2 linked regions of the Diceros bicornis minor genome follow. The protein of the gene in region 2 purifies or fractionates together with the protein of the main gene of each other region. This does not show direct contact. Links are inferred from orthologs where the notes say so. Each region holds a gene or a part of one and is shown on either strand. Other genes may lie near its edges.

Region 1 (7,142 bases), on a different chromosome or scaffold from region 2:
CTTTCCTTGCTTCATCCAAAGTCAGGCCCTTTGGGTGTCAGAGGTCATGCCAGTTCTTCCCAGAGAAACAGATTGAGGGTAAAGACACAGCGAACATGGGTTTGTCACCAAGCTTACAAAGTCCTGCTGGTCCCTACAGTGAAATTGCTGATCCTCCGGGCTGGGGAACAGAATCATCCATTCTCTGTATTTATTCCTAAGATTGAGGGTCATTAATCTTCCCACCTCCCAACCTTCCCTTCTGACCCCACCTGAGTGGAGATGTTGCAGACTGTTCCCCAAAGGCCTCTGTTGCCAGCCTGAAGGTAATTTCAAGACAGGTACATCATCCCCTTTGCTCCACTGAGAGGCCCTTGCCTAGTCGCAAGACCTTTGCTCATCCAGGATCAGTCTCTCAGGCATCACCTCCCTAGTGACCACAGGGTGTGCTGTCACACCATGGTTTGATGAACTACTCTTCTATTTTTAGGTGTTTAGTGGTTTCCAGTATTTTGCTTCAGCAAGAGTAATGATTATTAGTATAGTCTTTGGAATCCAGTAAACTTAGATTCAAATCCCAGCTCTGCCAATCTCTAGCTGTGTGACCTTGGGGAAGTCATTTCACCTCTCTGAGCTTCAGTTTCTTTGCTAATAAAATGGGGGTGATAATGACAGTACTACTTCCTAGGATTTTTATAAGAATTAAATAAGATAATGAATATGAAGCATTGAGCACATTCTTAGCACATAGTAATTGCTAAGTGTCAGCTATTAATTTTGCAAATATTGTGTCTTGTTTGGGATTAATTGGGGACATAGGGATAATTAGCTGAGCTTCTGAGCTTTTCTCCTATGAAAAGGTTGGGATTTGGGGTCCTTATGTACTCAGAGTCTCCGAGTCTTGGTTCTGAGATTTTTGATGCCACAGGTGTCCAGAGGAGAAAGAGGTGGTTGAAGTTGGAGTAAGCAAAGACCTCTTGGCAGAGGTGGTGCTGAGCCAGAGTTCCAGGTTTGCATTCCATTGGACTTGATCAAGATACTTATCCATCTGGAAAGTTTATTTTGGCCTGACTTTGCCCCTTTCCTCTAACCTTCGGTTTTTTCATTAATGCCCATTTCGTTAGGCCCTGTGTTTTATTGGCTGGCCATATTGTCATGAACAGAGATTCTGCTTCTGATCGTGTGTTTTCTTGCAGGTCTGGGTGAGCTGGAGAAAGCCTGACCTCCCTGCTCGGGAAAAGGCAGTGCTGGAGTTTGCACTTGCTATTTCCTGAGCTGATGACATAACAGACAGCCATTTCAAAAAGCTCGAGGTGCATGGCTTAAACCAAGAAGATACCTGGGATATAGCTGCCATTTCAGCTTTTTATGCCATGTCCAACCGCCTTGCTCATTTTGTCAGTCTTGTTCCAACAAAGAATTCTATTGGATGGGCAGAACCAATGATGTCAAAGACATGAGGAGTAAACTTGCTGCTCTCAAAGTATAAAAGCCTGAATGGAAAGGCCAGTTTTTACATTCCAGGCACATTGCATTATAAGACATCAGTTGGGAAGTAATTTTTAAAAAACATCTAGTCAGCGGATAGGGAAGAAAGTAAATAAATTTGCTCCCTGCCTGCTTGATGAGCTAGGTCCTAAGTGTTGGGGGTATCCAGCGACATGGGATACCTGGGCCTAGGGGAAACCTTTGCCAACCGTTTACTTTTGTTGTGATCTAAAAGGAGCATCAGGACAAACAGTTCAGAGGATGCTTTAGGTATTTATGATGAACTGATATCTGTGAATTTCAGCAATTGAAGTTGAAAATTTTTTAGCTTTCAAAACTAGTGTTATGTAGAAGTTGTTCTATGTAGACTGATTTGAAATCAATTCCTGTTAACATGGTTGTAATTAAAGGCTCTCAAAGGCAGTGGGTAAAAAGGAGCAGGCACAGTTAAAGTTGTTCTATCTTTAGTGCCTTCTCAGTTAATTAACCCCCAGTGATTTTTTTTTTTTAATGATGGGTGGTAAAATCACGGTCATCTCAACAGAATTTTAGTCTTTATGTGATTTATTCTTAATTTAGGTTCTAGTAAAATTTTTTGGAATGAGTGAGCACTCACATTTTATGTAGAAGCATAAGAAAAAAAAACCTGGCATTACTGAATGACTTGTTCTGTGTGTTACAACCACCACTGTCTTAGGTTTGTGGTTATCTTAACTTTTCAAGAATCATGCTCATTATCTGAGAGAGGTACATGCAAACCTACAAAATGTTTTTGTTCCCATTTGGCTTCTCTAGATTCTCTAAATTGTCAATGAACAGTTCTTAATTAGTTTGGGGACTATAATGTGTTAATTTGGAATTGCCTGAACTGTGAAATCTGATTATCTTGAGCCAGCACAAACTCTCATTTTCAGAGCTTGTGTTTTTCTGTTGAAACTACATCTTAAATACCTTGGAATATGTAACTTTTTAAAATTGACTTTTATTTTACTTATTTAAAAAGTTAATAACATTGGTGAATGTATCATGGTAAGGTTTTGTGGACCATAAAATTTTACCCATTGGCCATAACTTGGGGTCAAGCAGAGAGCCTCTACTAAGTATTTGTTGCAGCCAGAAGTTGTGGGTCATTAAGGGACATTATTTGTTAATCATAAAACAGACCTCTACCCCTTCTGCTCTGTGGTGGCAACATGGGGAATATCTCCAGAGGAACGGCTGCCTTGATCTTCTCTGAACTCAGGACGCTTCCTTCTTGCCCTTTTTTCAATCAACTCATGGACAGGAGAGCTGAATAAACTAACTTTCCTGGTGGGAGGGCGTGCTGAATGTTCAGCCCTCTCTGAATCTCATTCCCTTCCTCCAGAGATCCTTCAGACCTGACCTCACAGGATAGATCTTCCTACAAAGATCCTCTAGATTTATCCTCACAGTCACCAAGTGTGAACTTTCTACAACACAGCTCTTGATCAAGGCCTAGGAAAGTTGTCAGTTCTTATATCTACCTCTCCTTGTAACTCAAGCTTTCCTTTATTGAAGACTCTCCTTCCTTCCCCAAGAAACACCCCAATTCCTTTTTTTTTTTTTGAGTAAAATTGGCACTGAGCTAACATCTGTTGCCAATCTTCCTCTTTTTCTTTTTTCTTCCCAAAGCCCCAGTACATAGTTGTATATCCTAGTTGTAGGCTCCTCTAGTTCTTCTATGTGGGATGCCTCCTCAGCATGGCTTGATGAGTGGTGACGAGGTCCGTGCCCGGGATCTGAACAGGAGAACCCCAGGCCACAGAAGTGGAGCGCATGAATTTAACGGCTACACCACCCGGCTTGCCCCTTCTGCAAACAGTTTTATGTATTTATCTTCAACAGCAGTGGTGAAGGGCCTTGCATCTGTCATGCTCTCCATGCCCTGCCTGGCAGATGTAAGCACGATTGACGCTGGGCTCTATTGCCTGTAAGGTTGATTTGAGTTGGGTCTCCAGCTCCCCTCAGTGGCTCCTGGCTGGATATACCTCCTTTCTGCAGAGAGGAAGGCTTTGGCCTTGATCAAGTCTTGACCTACTGGGCAGTCGCTGGGAGTTGGGCAGATATTCAGGACACCAACAGGCCCCATTTTCCAGGCCCTGTACAGACCAGGGCTTTTTAGTACAGAAGTTGACCTGAGTCCTTAGGTCCTGGGCTGAGTAGGCAATACACCACGCCACCTTACTGTGCGTGACCTGCACATAATATTGGTAATTTCTTCTCCTCGCAGATCTCAGAGTAAAGTGGGGATAACAGAATCATACCCGGCCTGTTAGACTGACTAGTCAGGCCCACTCCTCCCCGCCAGGCACAGTCACGGTCACTGACAACTGCAGACTGACTGTCACACGCGTGCCCTGATGCTGACACTGCCCCATACAGCCCGGGCCCTGGGCATCTTCAGTTGCGCACACAGCCAGTCAGTCGCTCCCGACCTCTGTCCTGTGGGCTGCGGCACCCGCGGTCGGGCGGTGTCCCCGCTTTCGCGGTCCCCGGCGGATGGCTGCCGAGGGGCGGCGCGGGTTTCCCAGCCGGCGGGGTTAGGCCGCCGCACGCCGGAAGTGGCGGCTGGAGGGGGAGGGCTGAGGTGTCGGCCGGCGGGGCAGCGGCCCGGAGTGGGGGGGCGGGGGTGTGCGTCATGTTTCCCTCTGGGTCCAGTTGTCCCGGAGGGGACAGGGCGGAGGAGCCGGCGCCCCACCGGGGGCCAGCGGCCGCCGCCGGGCCGCTCCCTTCCCCGCCCGCGCCGCCACAGCCCGGGGCTGACGCGGCCTGTCCCCCGTCGCCCTCCCGGAGCCCTCGCCGCGCCGGCGCCCCCTCCCTGGCCCGGGCCCTGGAGTCTCCGGCTGCCGCCGCCCAGGGAGAGCCGGCGTCGCCCTCCCCGCCGCGCCGGCGGCCCGGGCCAGACTGCGGGGCCGGGAGCCGGGGCCGCCAGGGCCTCAGCGGCGGCCTGGGCGGCGCGGGCGCCCGGCTCTTCGGGTGGCTGCGAGAGCGCAGCCTGGGCCGCGGGCTGTTCGTGGACCCGGCGCGGGACAACTTCCGCACCATGACGAACCTCTACGGCTCCATCCACCCCGCCGACTCGGTGTACCTCAGCACGCGCACCCACGGCGCCGTCTTCAACCTCGAGTACTCGCCCGACGGGTAAGCGCGGCCCTCCGCGGGCGGGCCGCTCCGCCCGGCTCTGCGCCCGAGGCCGGCGGCCGGGGTCGCCCGGCGGCGCCGGGGTTGGCGAGGTGGCTGGGCCGCCGGCCCCGTGCCGCGGCACTCTCTGAGGGTCGGAGGCCCCGCCGCCGTTGAGGTGGGCAGGCCCGGGACCCGCTGTCACCTTCAGGACGCCGAGGCTCCGTGAGGGAGAAAGCCTGAAGCCGCACGGGTCCGTCAGCCGGTCCAGAGCGCGGGCTTTCTGGGACGCAGTGGATGCTCAGGAAAGACGCCCCTTTCCCGTCACCCGAGGCTTGCGTTTCCTCACCTAGGCTTGTGTCAAGGGTCGGGCGCCTGCAGAGTCCCCGTACCCTGTGACCGACTTGCCCCGAGGGGACAAGCGTGTGTTCCCTGGCTCTGTAAGATCCTAAGACACTGCCGAGAGGTGTCTTATGATGGGGCGCATTGGTGAAGTTCCCAGGCTAGACTACGTGCTTCTGGTAAGGGTGTCCAGCCTTCTTCCTGGCTGATTAAATATTTCATGTTTGGCCTCAGTTTACTTTGGAGTATGCGGAATTTTCAAAATAATATATATTTTTAAAACTTTGTTTTGTGAGTACACAACCAAGTTCAACAGCAGTCAAGGAAAAAAATTACACTCAGTTCCATCGTGAGACAACATAGTTAATGTAACTCTTACCCATCAAGGTCTCTGGATTCCTAGTCATCTGCTTAGTTGTTCATTCATTCGTTCCCTCATTCAGCAAATATTTGTTGAGCACTTGCTAGTTCCACGTGCAGAGGTGAGCAAAACTAGCTAATGGCACTGCTTTCATTGAGCTTGGGACTATTAGTTCAACTAATAGTAATAACCATACTAAATAATTCATAACGTATATTTACAAATTGAGATAAAGACTTGAAGGAACCTGTTGTGGACTAGGTTTTCAAGGTTTCCCTGAGGAAGTGACACTTAACCAAGATCAGAAAAATGCATAGGAGATGAATTAGTCAAGACAGAGTTGGGGAGGGGATAGAAGTATTTCAGATGGAGGAACTGGTATGTCAAAGAGCCTATGGTTGGAGGGGCAGCATGTCGTGTTAGGGAAGCTGAAAGACTGTAGGTTAACAAACAAAAAAATTTTGTTAAAGAAAGACCTAAAATATGCCAAGGAAGGAGCAAAGCAACAGAATCTGGAGTCACTGTGAGCAGGCACACCTTATTCCTTTTCACAGATGCAAATGCTTCTTCCTAATCATACACGGTGCTGGGATCTCTGGAGCTTCTCCTTTAGTAGTTGGGTAGAACTTGTAGCAAGGAATGTGAACCTGAATTCAAAGAAAATTGGTGAGAGGAGAAACTATTTTGCTGGTTTGTTCATGAAACCTCCTCTCCCCACTCCTTCCTCCAAGCCCTATTCCTAAGGCTCCTCCCAAAATACCAGGAGTCTGTTCCTCTCTTCTCCATATCTCAGTTCCTCTCCTCCCCACCTCCTATCTAGTCTGTCAGGCCTTCAGAAGTAGCTGTTTCTACTCTTTGAAGGTGGGATTTTATGTAGAGGGCAAGAGAGGTAGAATGAGTTATGAAGAAGGAATCTCCATTGCCAGTGCTATTAGAATGAGGAATATATTACTGATAGTTCTTGTTTGAATCTGGACTACATTTTCCCATAGAAACATTTTTGTAAAAGGTGGTTGGGTATTCTGGTACTTAAAACAAAATAATTTAATAATGTTTAACTATGCAATTAATATATACTCATTGTAGAAAACCTAGGCAATAAATGAGCAAAAAGAAGCTAAACATCATTTATGGTCCCAGAGATTGAATGGATATCCAAGGAAATTTTTTCTTTGTGTATGTTTATTTTAATATAAACATGGAATCATACTGTTGTGTAGCCTGCTTTTTTTCATGCAATATATTGTGAACTACCTATGTTAATAAATATATTTCTAAAACATTATTTAAAATTTTTCATTAGTTTAAATAAAACCTCTATAAGCAAATATTTTATATTTATGTCCTTATGATAAATCCCTAGAATGAGTCAAAGATTATGAAGATTTTGGAGACCTGTTATTCAATTACTCTCTGTGACAGCTGTACCAATTCTGATTCCTGTCAGACACATATGAAAGTGCCTGTCTCACCTTGCCAACATTGCACACTGCCATTTTTTTTCATCTATGTTAAGATGATAGGTGAAGAAAGTTCAGTGTTTTAATTTTTTAGTATTACTACATCTACAAATAGGCCCCCAATTTTTATAGGACTTAAAGTAACTTTATAGAAAAATGACATATCTGTGTTAAATGAGATAATTTCTCGTATCCTTCAGTTATATATGAGCTAAATCAGCTTACTGGGTACCATAACCACTGTCGCTTACAAAGACTTCTCAGTACAGAGAAGGAGAGATGACACAGAAGGTAAGAATTAAAATTATGAATTTAATAGAGGCCAAACTAGAGAGAATTTGGCACTAAAAAAGAAATGAAAGGGTACGTGG
Region 2 (7,785 bases):
TTAAAATACTGAATGCCTATTATGTACAAGGTACCTTATAAATATCCGAACCTTCCTAATAATGCCCTGAGGAAGGTATTATTACGCCTATTTTGCAACTGTGGAAACTGAGGCTGGAAGATTCATTTAGTAAGGCTTGCCCAAGGTCACCATAGCTAGTCAATGGCAAAGCTGGGATTCTAATCCAGGTCTGTTTGACCCCCCACATTTATGCAGCATCTACAGAAATGGAGAGAAACATCTTAACTCAGGTTTTGACTTAAACTGCATTTCTGAGCAGAGTAAAATTTTAAAAAATTAAAACATCCAAATGACTCCAGAACCTATGTAGCATTTTCAGAATGAAAAGGAACATCTTAATCCAGGCTTTAGTTTAAAATTCATTGACCAGCAATGAGTACTTTTTTTAAATGAAAACATCCAAATGCCTTAATAATGTGTTTTTATTTTAGGAGGGAGAGAAAAAACCCAAACAAACAAAATCTCTGAAACCAGTATGCAAATGCAATTAGGATCACAGCTCATCTCTTTAAAACTCCTTGGCTATTAAATCGATATATTTTAAGTGAAACAGTGAATACATTAGTCAATCAGAATTCATATTTACTTCAGAAAAGTCTACTATTAAATCAGAAATATTACAACACTCTTGAGATCCTGGGGATGGGAGAGGAGTGATAGAAAAAAAATGGTTAAAAATAACACTATAACCCCCTGCTTGAGACAAAATAGAGCACATTCCTGATTTCCACACTAATGTTGAAAACACAAGCATGGAAAATCTAATTTTCTCAATACTAACATCTAGCCACAAGGCACTTATCTGGTAAATATTACTTTAGTTCATTCATTTACTTCTCCACTTAATAAACATTTTAGCATCTAATACCTGCCAGTTAAGGGTGTTGAAAAAGTTAGTCAGAAAAACAGAAACACAGTCAACGGATAAAAAGTAATTCAGCTCAATTACATTTTTTTAAATTGCTGATTTTATATTTGTATCGATGCCTTCATAATACTCTCAATCACATATCTGAAACACAAAAGGAACAAATTTTCCTAAAAGCTGCAGGTTAGTACTTTAAAACCCATCTTAGTGATAAAAAAATAGATACAGTACTTGATCCTATCTTTAGACTAGTGGTACACAGTTACTACTTCTGTGTATACACATTATTTTTCACTGCCAAACCCTACCTTTGGGAAGAAATGCAGAGATCATAAACATTTTTCTCCAAATACTGCTTCCATAATGAGTGTCAAGAATACAGTATTCAACATTATAAATCTAACTATAAATCTTATTTGAGCATGAAAATGTCACCATTTCTACCTGCATTTCTAGGGACTGGAGAATGTGGCCTACTGAAGCATAAAAATAAAAATCCCAGCAGTGCCAAGGCTCACTATGCACCTGAAATAAATAAACCTCTTTAGAATACAAATTTCTCACCTGTAAAATCCGGATCAATCATACCGATGGTCAATGTTATCAGGAATGACAGATTAGATACAATAGGCTGAGACAGACCTCAAAATACTACACACAAACACCCAGTGCATACTTCAGCACAAGGATACAAACCACCCCCCCAAAAAAGGACCTCCCTCTGCCTCACTGATTATGCATAAAACATTAGGCCACCTCTATGCTGTTTAATATATTAACATAGAGCACGTGACCACTCAAGTGTCAAATCCTTAGTAGGTGATTATGGATTTTGGCCTTGGTTACCTTTAAAGTTCTTGATCACTAACTTCTTAGCAGAGCCAGGCTTGCTGTTAGCAAAGCTAGAGGCGGTGGTAGATTTGGCTAGGCCGTTTGCGTGATGCACCGAAGCCACAGAAGAGATTAATATACTCTTATTTTTAAGTTGCTGCTGCTGAGATGTTGCAGCAGTTGGTGAAGAGGAGGAGGAGGAGGAGGAGGATTCCTCAGCCATCTTCGCATCAAACCCTACAAACTCCAGGTTGTCGTCAAAACGCAGCTTCTTCTGTACCGGTACGTGGCTGGAAGCAGCCACTGAAACCCCCAGGCAGAAGGACGAGGTTGAAGGGGATGCCGAATCCCTGGGTTGTAAAGGAGGAGAGGAAGAGGCGGAATCAAAGTCTTCTCTCTCGTTACTACTGTTACTGCTGCTACTGCTGTTTAACTTTCTCTTCTTAGCAGAGGTGGGCGGAGTGGTGCTGGTATTACCATCAGTGGCAGATCTGACCTCCTGAGCAGCAGCAGCAGCTGAGGGATTGGGGGAAGAAAAACCTGTTGGAAACATGAAAATAGCGGGGTCAACAGGCAGAGGAGCATCAAAAACCTAGGTTTATATGCCTGCGTGCGTGTAGGAGAGAAGGTGGCAGTGCTAGAGGGGGAAGGGAAGAAAGAAGAGAGGAGAAACACAGAGGACGAGAAGGAAAGTGAAGGGGGGGCTACACCGGGGGAATGGGAGGGTTTGGGAAGGCGGATAGGCTGACACCAGGAGTGAGCAGAACGAGGGGGGAGAACGAATGAGGAGGCAGACAGGTAAACGGCCGTGCCGTCCCCCTCCCCTGCTTTTCGGTCTCTCTCCCCCCTTTCTGCAGGAGCGACTCAGTGAGTCTGTGAGGCGGCAGCTCCTCCTCCTTTTCTCCCTCTCTCTGGGAGGGGAGATGCCGGGGCTGGGGGGAGGGGGAAGGGGGAGAGGACCGGGGCTTGTTATTGTCAATAGCACAAGAGGCTAAAGATGGCGCCACTTCCGGTCACGCGGCCGCGAGGGAGGGGCGGCGTCTGTCCCCGGGAGTGGGGGGTGGAGAGAAGCACTGCAGGCGCCGGGGGGCGGGGGAGCTGGCTCGCGGGGAGGCGATGGGCAAGGGGCGGCTAAGGCGCCCGAGACGCTCGTGCTCCTTCGTTCGCTCTGGCTCTCCCTCCCCCTTCCTCACCCGCTCCCCGTCCCTGGCAGCACTCTCCTCACCCGGCCCGCCGGTAACTCCCACCCCTCCTTAACGGTCCCGCGGGAAGCTTCGCGCCGCAACGCCCTTACCGGAAGTGACTGGGCAGACACTTTTCATAGCGCCCAGATCCCGAAGCCCCCAGGTCCGCAGGACTTGAGCGGGGGGGTGGGGGAGGGAGAAAAGGGGGGGAAGAGAAGTGGAAAGGGAGGAGGGGGCGGGCCTCCGGGCACCCTCGGAGCTCCTGATTGGAGCTTTCTGGACGTGAGGCGGGCGGGTGAAGGGGGGGTGGCGGGAGAAGGAGCGGGAAGGAGGCTGAAGGGGAGGGGCGGTGGTGACGGTGAGGGGCGGGGTGAGCTAGCTGGGAAAAAAGAGGAGGAGGGAGAGAGGAAGGGAGGGAGTAAAAAGTAAGGGAACGGAGAATGGAAACTTTGAAAGAGATAAAGGAATAAGGAGGAGTTGCAAGGCGAGGGGAGTAACCCGAAATGGAAGAAAATATAATGATGCCATTATGCCTCCAACTAAGGAGGAATGTCATGTTAAGATAGGAAAAGAAAAAGAGCTTAGATGGAAAGAAAGGGAGTTTTTGATTCAGTTGATCTATAAGTTGTTTCTCTTTTATGTCAAGGACACCACTGACCCAATACTGAATAGGGCCTGAATTTTGATACCTTTCTCAGTAATATAGCTGCAAATCCTTTTCCCTTCCTACCAGGAGCATTTTCTAAGATAGCTGGCCAGAGTTAAACGTGCATTTTAAGGCCAAGAAACAGGAAGGTAACTAACACGACCCCCACCCCACACGACACAACCCCCAGGACCAACCCCAACCCCGACCCCCATCAGTCATTAACCTAGTAATTTACAGACTAAACAAAGCCACTTCTTTTACCAAATCTCAGTTTATACACTTCTTTGAGACAAAGTGTATAATATTGGCAATACAATATTGGCAAAAGTCAATGTTTTCTACCAATGTATTCCATGAGCCCAAATTTTAAAATAGATTACTCACGAGAACAAACCTGTAAATTGGCAACAATAAACCTTGTAAATTCCCTGTTGGGAGTTTTTATTTAATTCAAAGGCATTTGGGAGGGGTGGGAGAACACAATGTCAAATAAAACTAAATTTGCCAACCTGTTGATCATTGTAACTGCAGAAACATTCAACAAGCAGGTATTGAACGACTTTGTATGCCAGACACTATACTAGATGCCTGCCATTGAGAAGGCAGTGGGGGAAGATAGTTTCAAAACTAATTTCCATAACAGTACTATAACAAATGTACAAAGTGCTATGGGAACAGGTGAAACAAGAAATTTGGGGGAATTTTGGAATAGTCAGAGTTTCACAGAGGAATTTATATTTATGCTGGGTCTCAAAGTAGGAATTGCCAAAAAGACAAGAGGGGAGAGCATGAAAGGCATTCTGGGAAGTGGAAACACGGGCAAGGCAGGGAGTTGTGAAAGTGCCTGGCCTGTTTGTGGACATATGGAAAGTGCTGGAAAGTAGGATGTCTGGTTGGAAGGAAGGAAGATGAGGCTTAAGAGTGCCTGGCACACAAAGCCAAAAATTTTGGAGTCTACCCTGTAGGCTAGGGTAGGCAGCATGGAGATGAGCCAGCAAGCTGGGCTTTTAAAAGCAGGGGCGTGACAAGATTGTGGGTGGAGTAAAAGCAGTTTGTATTGTATAGCTTGAGATAGACAAATCAGAACGGTAAGAATAAGTCAATATTCTAACTTTGTTTACACAGACCCACTTTTTTGTTGTTTGTCTTGAAAAGTCCTCCTAGACTTTAAAAATGTCCTCCTAGACTAGTTAAAATGCAGATCCTCCTAGAAAAGGTACCACCTTGGGCCACTATCAGCTTTGTGCTGTTTGATGACAACAGGCAGAGAGAAAGGCTCTAATGGCACTTAGGACCCTAGGCTACAGAGAATGGAGATAGAGGCCTGAAAGGGAGAAGATTGACTCCTATCTGTTTTCAATGTACCCTATTGTTCTTGCTGCCTGAAATGAGACTGTAAACTCTTAAGGCCAGGGAAGGTGTCCTAAAACATTAAACCCTCCTTTATTGTGTCTCACATTTCACACGATGCTGATCAACTGTGTAAATGCAGAGTAAATACTTATTGAATTGAATATTTCATTGAATGAGAATAAAATAATGCTGTGCCTTTATAAGGGAGGATTAACTGGCTAATTTTCAGGATTTAATGAACAAAGTTGTTCTAATTCATATAGTTATATTCCTTAGAAGGGTGTATGGATGGACCCGCTGAGGACTTTTCAAGACAAAAAAAAAAAGTGGGCCTTGTTCTAATTCATGTAATTATATTCCTTAGAAAGGTGTATGGAGTGCTAGCTATTTTAAAAATTATAAATATTAGTGCAACTGAAAGGGAATGGGCATAAAGATAAAAAGAAAACTGCTTTTGCCATACAAAGATAAACTTTTATACTAACGTAAAGGATAGCTGAGTCCTGTTAATATTCAACTACATTCTAGTAATAATAGCTCCCAATCTGACATGATTATCTAAGCCCTTCAGTCTTCCCAGGTAAATGTTAGTTCTAAAAGCACAGACCCTTGGCTCTTGAGCTCTAGCTCACTTTAAATGACCCAGGGGCCTAATCTACTATTTAAGTTTTCCATGAAATATCCTTAAGTGAATTTTGTGGAAAAAATATTTTTTCTTTTTTTTTTCTTAGTGATTAATAATCTTCCTTTTGACATTTTAAAACCTCATTTTATTTTGTGCCAGGTGAATCGTCACATATTTAGCACATCTTAATATGGATATATAATTTAATAATTAATTTTAATAAATAATTTTAAACATTTAACATTTACATTTTGTGGCACAGACCAACTTAGTGTCTTCTTGGACACTCAGACCAATTTAAAAAGACGAAAAACCTCCCATGTTGCTTTGTAAAACATCTTTTACATCAAGAATCAACTAATTGGGGCTAGCTAAAACATAAGCATATGTTCTATACACCCAAACATTTGCCAACCAACATTAAACACATTCTCAACATTAAAATACATTTTTCAAGGTTAGACTCACTGAAACCACAATAATCAAGGCATGCACATAAATTATGGCCATTATCAGACTAAACCAGATTGGACACTTAACATATATTACATATATAGAATCTTTCATCTTGTGAGTTCAACTCATACCTTAGAAACATTAATTAAATTTTACAGTGCTACCAGATGAGGTATAGTTATTATTGGCCTTGTTTTAATCAAGTAAATAAATCAATCTGTAGCTATTTATAAAGGTAAATATATACACATAAAAGAAGAAATACAAAGACAGAGGACTAGTTTTTCTAATGTCCATTCCCCTATTTCTGTAGGTCTCTGTCTAAAAAGTATAACCTGTTTCGCTTTGATCACGGGGACTCCCCGGCGGGCTTGTGTTTGGGTCTTCTCCAGACATCTCAGAGCAGGAGCTTGTTGATGGACAGACACTCTTGGAAGCCTTGTTATTCATGTGTGGGAATTTCCTTAAAAATAGGAGATACTGCTTGCTCAGGAGAATACCAAAGATGATTCTGCAGCAAGCACTATTTAAGAATGTGTCCAGAAAAGACAACTGCTGAGCAAATGGTGGTCCATGGTTCTCTATCCACTCTTCTGAAGGACCATCTTTGAAGCAGGGCAACACTGAGAGGGCAAACCAAGCGGTGGTGAGATATTAACCATTATATCATAATAAGGGCTTTGTGATGCGAGCAACAGCAGGGGGCAGCTATGGGGGACTGGGGAGGCCAAACTTAAGCAAACATGACCCCACTACACTATGTGAATTCACCCTTTGCCCATCCTGGAGTTGCTTTATAAAGCAAAAGGAACTTAATAACAAATGCTGAACCTATGGTGCTCAGTAAAATGTAAATAAATAACACAGATCTCATATTTTTAACAAAATCGTTTATCTTCTATGTAAAATTATCTCATCAACTGGAGACTTACTGACTCAGGTACATCAGCCATTTGAGGACTTAGCACCTTAGCTCAGAGATTTTTATCTACTGTCATACCAGTGAACCATCTGGAAAGCAGATTTAAGGCCTTAACTGTTAGGGCCAGGCCATTTTCCCTAGGGGTTTGGGAATGGGGGACCGGATCAGCCACAGGTTACTTCTTCCTTTGGTACTGCCAAGCACCTGCTTATTATGGAGTTGCTGGGCCTATTTTTAACCTTCTGTTCACTCTATCAATGACCCCCACAGTCCCTCCACCCCCACCCTGCTTTAAGGTTTGATCTTCCAATGGCATTCAGCTTTTCTTTTTCTCAAGAGTAGGGCCAACTTAGGTTTAAATCAGCAGTTCCCAACTCTGACTGTACAACAGACTGTATGACAGAATTGCCTGGGGAGTTTTTTTAAAAAACCTCTTTGCCCAGGTCTGAACCTCATCCAGCTGAATTAGATCTCTGGAGTAAGGCCTCAATTATCAGGATTTTTAAGAATCTCACAGGGTGATTCTACATACCTCCAGGGTTGAGACCACAGCTGTAGTGAAGTAAGTACCTCTGTGATTTGAATGGGGCTGATAAGCCTTTGTACTCCCTTTAATGCCTGAAATTTCACAATTTATTCATTCCCTTCGATAAAATAGCCTCCTTCTCTAGGAATCCTTTTTTTCACATGAAAATTAGCCAGAGAGACTTAGTTCCTGACCCTTTAAGGTGAATGCTTCCTGGGAACAAAGGATAATACAAAAGTCCTAAGTGCCTGGAGGTAAACAGAACTAGGAGTAGGTATTGCAATGGAAGGGGAGAAAGTACATTTTGTTGACCTCACAATATTGCCTGGGGCCAATCCTGCTTTGCGATG

The links. The genes of interacting proteins can lie anywhere in the genome.
Region 1: the proteins of CUL4B (region 2) and DCAF10 purify together in Homo sapiens (affinity purification with mass spectrometry; 4 studies listed by BioGRID and IntAct, with this or other methods). This does not show direct contact. The link is inferred for Diceros bicornis minor from reciprocal best matches to the Homo sapiens genes CUL4B and DCAF10.

The regions. Positions count from the first base shown.
Region 1 is NC_080767.1:6,188,783-6,195,924, reverse strand, and holds the start of DCAF10 (DDB1- and CUL4-associated factor 10), read left to right. Parts: upstream 1-4,126; coding exon 4,127-4,629; intron 4,630-7,142. UniProt on the Homo sapiens protein: May function as a substrate receptor for CUL4-DDB1 E3 ubiquitin-protein ligase complex.
Region 2 is NC_080781.1:111,043,184-111,050,968, forward strand, and holds the start of CUL4B (cullin-4B), read right to left. Parts: upstream 3,058-7,785; 5' UTR 3,043-3,057; coding exon 3,015-3,042; intron 2,261-3,014; coding exon 1,736-2,260; intron 1-1,735.